2 linked regions of the Arabidopsis thaliana genome follow. The protein of the gene in region 2 binds, or shares a complex with, the protein of the main gene of each other region. Each region holds a gene or a part of one and is shown on either strand. Other genes may lie near its edges. The genes, in order: NdhO and ndhJ. A codon is read from its position in the direction of its gene.

Region 1 (3,670 bases), on a different chromosome or scaffold from region 2:
CGCCATGGTAAAAGAGGGATTTTATTGAGGGAAAGCCGCTGCAGAATGTATCGATCGTTGCTGATACGTTTAAACGATTTCGAAACTAATTGAAGATTGCGAAACTCGGATAATGATGAAGCTGCAACACATTAAGAGATCTCTACAAGAAGGTCTTCAGGTAGAGAATCTAGAGAAACAGAAACTGTCATTCTGTGGGAATTCTTGAAAGAAGAAAAAGTACTATGGTTTGTTTAAGATTGTGAGTATTGTTTTCTCTCTTGATTTGTTGACTCGGGTTTTTATAACAATGTTTAGATTTCCTATTCCTAATAGGAAAAGGAAGTAATACAAAAGTTTAGAATAAGCCAAAAGATTAAAAATAAATAAAATCTAAAAAAGCTTTAAAAAAAAAAAGGAAAAATACATAATAATGGGATTAAATCCTTGTATGGAGAACAAATCCAAACCCTAGATTCTCTCATTCACCGTTCACCAATGGGAAAACCCAAAAGGAGAAATCATAGGAAACCCACTAACATCACCATCACGTCAATAGTATTTTTGTGATGATGAAGAATTTATCAGAAAATGGAAGTCAAAGACAAAGCAGAGGAAAGGATTGTTTAATGAAGTTGTGAGAGATGAGATTGGCTTTGTGTCTTGTTACTCTCCTAGTCACATACATAATACATTGATTACGAGGTGAATTTGAAACATGTTGGCACACTTCCGCTTGTCTTCGTCGTTTAGAGCACCTAAATTTACCATCATCCGTCCATTAGGTCAGTAGTTATATTTGTGATGATGAAGAAGTTTCCGGTTTTCGGAAAGTGGAAGCCAAAGACAAAACCAGAGGAAATTTTATGAAGCTGTGAGAAATGAGTTTATGTTGGGAGATCGATGAGATAAAATTACCATCATCCGTTTACTGAAGCTGCATTCTTATTATAGGAGTCTGATGACATATTCCACACTCCACAACAGTTTTTGTAACTAATTGTAACGTTGATACTTTGTCAAACTCTTGAACACATGATCATGATGGTGCGCCATTGTTATCGTTCATCTCAGCTTAACACAATCCTTGGTATATCAGTTGCATTCCAAAGGATTCTTCTTGGAACCTTCTTGACTCTACATTCGCTCGTAAACAAGTTTCTCACACTGCGGTGGAACAAAAACCAAGAACACAGAAACAATCATGACTTGACATCAAGACAATGCTACGTATTGTTGATGTACTGAGAAAATTATGAGTACCTTGATGAGCATATCTGTTGGGAGCCAAGCTGGTGCGGTGGGGATACCAACCCATCCAACCTAAAGTCTCCAAAATTCACAATCCATTAGCTCATCTTATGAAACAGAATAAACAATTTGTGTGGAGACTGACTTACAAGTGCATACTCTCCTGTCTCAAAGACACGAAGGTCCAAGACCTGCAAGATTTAGATTACTTGTTCAATAAGCTTGAAATCTCTTGTGATTTATTTTCAAAAGGGATTGTGTTATACCTCGCCGCGATCTTCGTATATGTAATCAAGTCCTTTGTAGAAAGGAGGATGTCCAACTGATAAGTACTGTAATTTCAACAAATGTAGCAAAACAAAAGTTTCAGAAACAGATTTTTGAAGAAGCAGCTTCAAAACTGGGAAAGATTTCGACTATACATTGATGCTGTTGAGGTACTTCTCTTTTTCCACACGAACGATTTGGCCCTTCTTCACTGTTTTCTCATCCACCAGAAACAGAAATTCAAAAGAATTATCAAAAATCTGTTATTGGATTCAACACTTAGAAACAAAAGTGAGGGAACAGACTCGAGTAAACCGGTTTCTTGGGGAGGGTTTTAGGGGTTTTGGTTGCAGCTGGTGATGCTTCCCCATCAGACTTGCCCTGTGTGCTCTGTTTCTCTTTCTCTGCTTCTGCTTTGACTGTGAATTGAGGAAGAGATCGATGAGGGAGTCTTCTAGAAGAAATTGGTAATGAAGAGGAGATGGTTGAAAGAGAAGAAAGCTGAGACACAGTCGCAGAGAAAGCCATTGGAGAGACCACCAAGAAAAAAAATTATGTGTTCTTGGAGTTTCGGGATAAGACCGCAATGGTATCCAAGTCTCTCAACGGTCTAAAACAGACATCACTGAACCAATCATAAGATGCCACGTAAGTGCAAACAAGTTTCCTCTGCTATACAACTAGGAATATAGTAATAGATAATGTATTCCAACAAAGATTATATTCGTTTTTTTTTGTTTTCTGATGCTTGAAAGTTTATGAATTATAAACACATACAAGTGAAATCGTGTATGTCACATGGAAGATCATATACAAAATCTTTTTACGTGTACTTTTAAATTATATGTTACATTATAGAATCTAATTGATCTGGTTGTGAAGTAGGAAACAATATATATACTGTAGGCAAAGTATTTAATTTTATAAAATTGTTTAAATCATATTCACATTGATCTCCTTTTGTTTTAACAAAAAAAAAAAACAGAGTAATAAGGTGAGCATTAGAATCTAGACTTACATAGTTGCATATATCAAAAATAATGTATATTACACAAGGAAATCAAGAGAAAACGTGAGAAAAGATTGAGCTCAATCATTTAACCCCTAGACTCTAATTTGATCCTCTTGGAAGATGGAGTGTCGTCATCAAGGGAGGAAACATCATGAGACGACGATGATGAAGATGTTGATGATGATGATGGAGATGAATCAATGTCGTTTTGTAGGATTCTCTTAGGACTAAGTTTTTTGGTTTTTCCTTCTTCAGCTTCACCACCTCTCATTATAAGTTCTTTTAAACGCTTCACATCAGCTAATTTCACCGGTTTTAGCAAAAACTCCTCTGCTCCTTCTATCATACATCTACAACAACAACAACAACAAAAGAGAGGATAGACAAAAAAATCAGATTACAGTGTTAAGATCCATTGATTCAGTTTTGTATCTTTAGCTATAGTGACTTACTGTTCTATACGAGGTTGTATGTTCTCAGAAGACATTATCACTACTGGGATTTCTCTGAGTGCTGAAGACTCCTGGCAAATATACAACAGAATTTTTGTAAGGAAAACACGAGAAGAGCTTATTCAAATCTTGCTCTAATAAATGACACAAAATAGAAATTTACTTTGATCTTCTTGAGGAGTTCATATCCTGTTAGTCCCGGCATTGAATAATCCGTCACTATCAAGTTCACTTTCAAATCCTGTTATCAAAATTTGCAAAATTGTTCATATAAACGGCATCAATAAACAAATAATAAAATCATCCTCTAAAGGTTAAACTTTTGATCCACATTGTGAAACCTTAGATTTCTTGGGAGCCAAACCAGCATAAGAACACTTCAAGTTTCAACGTCTAGGGTTGATTTTGCTAGAAAACAGAGAGATTCTAAGAAATGAATGAATATATACCTTAAGACCAGAAGATCCATTGTCTCCATCTAAACCAAGATACTGCAGAGCCCTAGTCCCACTCTCAACAGTCGTCACTATATAAAGAAACCCACCAAATTTATCCAAAAAAACGAATCAGAAACCAAACAAAAGAAAAGCAGAAAACGTAAAGAGAAACAGTTTTGCCTTTTACCTTTACAAGCAGAGATCTTAAGCAATCTCTCAATAACTTTACGATCCACGAAACTATCATCAACGGCAAGAACATGTAACTCCGG
Region 2 (3,127 bases):
GGACTTGAAATCGTTGTGCCACCATTCGTAAAACGAGGATGATCCTTCGCCGGGATAGCTCAGTTGGTAGAGCAGAGGACTGAAAATCCTCGTGTCACCAGTTCAAATCTGGTTCTTGGCAGAGGATTTATTAATTTTGATAAGTTTTTATTCTTCAAATTAAACGTATCTTTAGTAAAAAAAGTGCAATTATGCTTTATCCCCTCTCTTTTTTTTGTTCATGTTGTGAATCCAGCCGTTCAAAAAGAATGTATAATACTTGATACATAATACATATCCGAAAGGAAAGGTTAAATGAGTTCCGTTGAATCAAACAAGTAAAAAAAGGTCTATATGTATAGTATACTATAGTTGAAGGGCAAAAATACCCCAAGGTTCATTAGATACAATAGAAATAGAATTGTATCCCCCCCTTCATTTATTGCTTTCCGATCTTATTTATTCATTCCCAGTTATGTGACTAAAGTTGACTAAGTTATGTGCGCGATACAAAGTTCATAATGCAGAACTCTTTTTTTTTAGTTCATCCTATTGGCTCATTTTTTATCATTCAATAAGCATCTTGTATTTCATAAAAATTGGGGGCAATATAATCCTTACGTAAAGGCCACCCTATCCAACTCTCGGGCATTAGGATCCGTTTCAGTCGTGGATGGCTATCATAAGTGATTCCTAACATATCATAAGATTCCCGTTCTTGAAAATCCGTACTTTTCCAAACCCAGAAAACGGATGGAATTCTAGGATTACTCCTGTGAGTAAATACTTTTATGCAGACTTCTTCCGCTTGATTAACACCATATTCTATTCTCGTAAGATGATACACGCTGGCTAAGAGGCCACCTGGTGCCACATCATAGGCACATTGCGAACGTAAATAATTGTAACCATATACATATAAAATTACAGCAATAGAATGCCAATCTTCGGGCTTTATTTGTAAAGTCTCTATTCCTTGATAATCGAAGCCCAACGATCTATGAACCAGCCCGCGTTTGGCTAGCCAAACGGACAAAGTGCCCTGCATCTTTTTTATTTCCCCCACACCTTTTTTATATAAAATTAAGTATTTCACATTTACCGTTAATTCTAATTTATGAAGATTTTTTTCTGATTCTCTAAAAGCCTCCCTAATTCACTAATTCGTGGGACGATACTGGACTTTTGTATTTAAAAAATGTTTCAGTAGAGATCTCTGAAGTAGATGATGGTGGATAGAGTAGTTCTTGATCATAATTTCCAATATGCGGACTGCGTACAACAAAAAACTTGTGATTGGTAGTAAAACACCGATTACCCTGTTGAGGTCTAATTCGATCCTTATAGATTTCTCTAGCTATTTTCTTACGAAGCTTTGTTATAGCGTCTATAACAGCCTCTGGTTTAGGTGGACAACCCGGCAAATAGACATCTACAGGAATTAGCTTATCAACTCCTCGAACAGTACTATAAGAATCGGTACTGAACATCCCCCCTGTAATTGTACAGGCTCCCATAGCAATAACATACTTCGGTTCAGGCATTTGTTCATATAATCGCACTAAAGAAGGAGCCATTTTCATTGTTACTGTACCTGCTGTTAAAATAAGGTCCGCCTGTCTAGGACTCGATCTTGGTACTAACCCATAACGATCAAAGTCAAATCGGGAGCCTATTAATGAGGCAAATTCAATGAAACAACAACTGGTACCATAAAGAAGCGGCCATAGGCTGGAAAGTCTTGACCAATTTGAAAGATCATTTAACGTAGTTGAAATAACGGAATTTTTTGTTGTTCGATCAAGTATGGGAAACTTAATGGAATTCATAATTGTTTCAATGGTTTTTTTTACTTTTTTTTTTTTTATTATTGTATCAAGTATTCGGTAAACGAACTAAGACCATTCCAATGCTCCTTTTCGCCATGCATAAACTAAACCAAGAATTAGGATAAGCACGAAAATGAAAGCTTCTATAAAAGCAGATACCCCCAGTACATCGAAACTCATTGCCCACGGATACAGAAAAACAGTTTCAACATCAAAAACAACAAAAACTAGAGCAAACATATAATAACGGATTCTAAATTGTAACCAAGCATCCCCGATCGGTTCTATACCTGATTCATAACTAGAAAGTTTCTCCGGCCCCTTCCTAATTGGAGATAAAACTCCGGAAATTAGAAATGCCAAAACAGGAATAGCACTTGATATTAGTAAAAATGCCCAGAAAATATCATATTCGTAAAGCAGAAACATAGACGAACTCCTATGAATGTGGAAAAAATACCCGCTTAGTCAATTCCAATCGGAGTGGATTGGGCAAGGGATATAGAACTCTTGAGTCAAAACAAAAATTCAGGTTAATCGAATCATTTTTTTTCGTTTGGTTGTTGTGGTAGACGTCTCGTTTTAAGATTTATTGATTTCTTATTTTCAGTACACTTATTACTTAATAGTTCCATGTTTCTATTACTAATAGTTTCTAATATAATAATATAATATTAATCTGATTAATAACTAGTAATTTTTTTTATTTCTGTTTATGTTTAAAAAAATTTTTCGAAAAATCTCTTCGTTTTTTAAATGATGACGTATCAAAAAATCCAGTAAGACTTTACCATACTCATCTTACTTAGTATTAGATAGATTGAATTTTGGTTGAATTTAATTAGATTTCTTTTTTTATTTTTAAACAAGGCCGTGTGATAAAAAAAGTAACCAAGATTGAGTGGGGATACAAAAAAAAAAAGAAAGTATTATGAACTTTTTGATTGTAGCTAGTGAACGAGGAAAATTCATATAAAAAAATTACAACTATGAAAATTAATGAAGAAAAAGGTTTATTCTAAATTATAAATTAAGTATCTATCTCGATATATCGATAGATAGTGATTGGCTCCATTGAAATAAAATGAAATTTTCCGTTTTATTCTGAACGATCCCCAGGACTTATGGTTTATGATATGGAAATTTTTTTTATGAACCGAGCAATTAAAAGTAACCTGTTAGAAATAAAGAATACAAAAAAAAGTAAAAAAATTTATCCAATTATTTTGATTTTAATGTGATTTTTTAGAATAAATTTCTTAGTTAGGGCTATACGGACTCGAACCGTAGACCTGCTCGGTAAAAGAGTTCGAACTTAT

Evidence for each region.
Region 1: the proteins of ndhJ (region 2) and NdhO are in contact, whole or in part, in a cryo-EM structure (PDB 7WFG), measured with the Arabidopsis thaliana proteins. Residues at the interface, in NP_051062.1 of Arabidopsis thaliana: Ala60 (codon at 850), Pro61 (codon at 847), Ile138 (codon at 616), Gly139 (codon at 613), Arg143 (codon at 601), Lys144 (codon at 598), Asp145 (codon at 595), Tyr146 (codon at 592), Ile147 (codon at 589), Ala148 (codon at 586), Pro149 (codon at 583), Asn150 (codon at 580), Ile154 (codon at 568), Gln155 (codon at 565); in NP_565093.1 of Arabidopsis thaliana: Ser91 (codon at 1,661), Ile92 (codon at 1,658), Leu95 (codon at 1,559), Asp107 (codon at 1,523), Tyr108 (codon at 1,520), Ile109 (codon at 1,517), Tyr127 (codon at 1,388), Val130 (codon at 1,302), Ile135 (codon at 1,287), Pro136 (codon at 1,284), Thr137 (codon at 1,281), Pro139 (codon at 1,275), Ala140 (codon at 1,272), Trp141 (codon at 1,269), Leu142 (codon at 1,266).

The regions. Positions count from the first base shown.
Region 1 is NC_003070.9:28,128,996-28,132,665, forward strand, and holds NdhO (NAD(P)H:plastoquinone dehydrogenase complex subunit O), read right to left. Parts: upstream 2,083-3,670; 5' UTR 2,026-2,082; coding exon 1,803-2,025; intron 1,709-1,802; coding exon 1,653-1,708; intron 1,563-1,652; coding exon 1,497-1,562; intron 1,422-1,496; coding exon 1,380-1,421; intron 1,303-1,379; coding exon 1,243-1,302; intron 1,147-1,242; coding exon 1,117-1,146; 3' UTR 833-1,116; downstream 1-832. Other genes in the region: AT1G74875 (F-box protein), read right to left, coding at 1-121, 666-750; ARR15 (response regulator 15), read right to left, coding at 2,595-2,859, 2,962-3,032, 3,125-3,202, 3,411-3,487, 3,586-3,670. UniProt on the Arabidopsis thaliana protein: NDH shuttles electrons from NAD(P)H:plastoquinone, via FMN and iron-sulfur (Fe-S) centers, to quinones in the photosynthetic chain and possibly in a chloroplast respiratory chain.
Region 2 is NC_000932.1:48,127-51,253, forward strand, and holds ndhJ (NADH dehydrogenase subunit J), read right to left. Parts: upstream 1,028-3,127; coding exon 551-1,027; downstream 1-550. Other genes in the region: ndhK (NADH dehydrogenase subunit K), read right to left, coding at 1,131-1,808; ndhC (NADH dehydrogenase subunit 3), read right to left, coding at 1,875-2,237. UniProt on the Arabidopsis thaliana protein: NDH shuttles electrons from NAD(P)H:plastoquinone, via FMN and iron-sulfur (Fe-S) centers, to quinones in the photosynthetic chain and possibly in a chloroplast respiratory chain.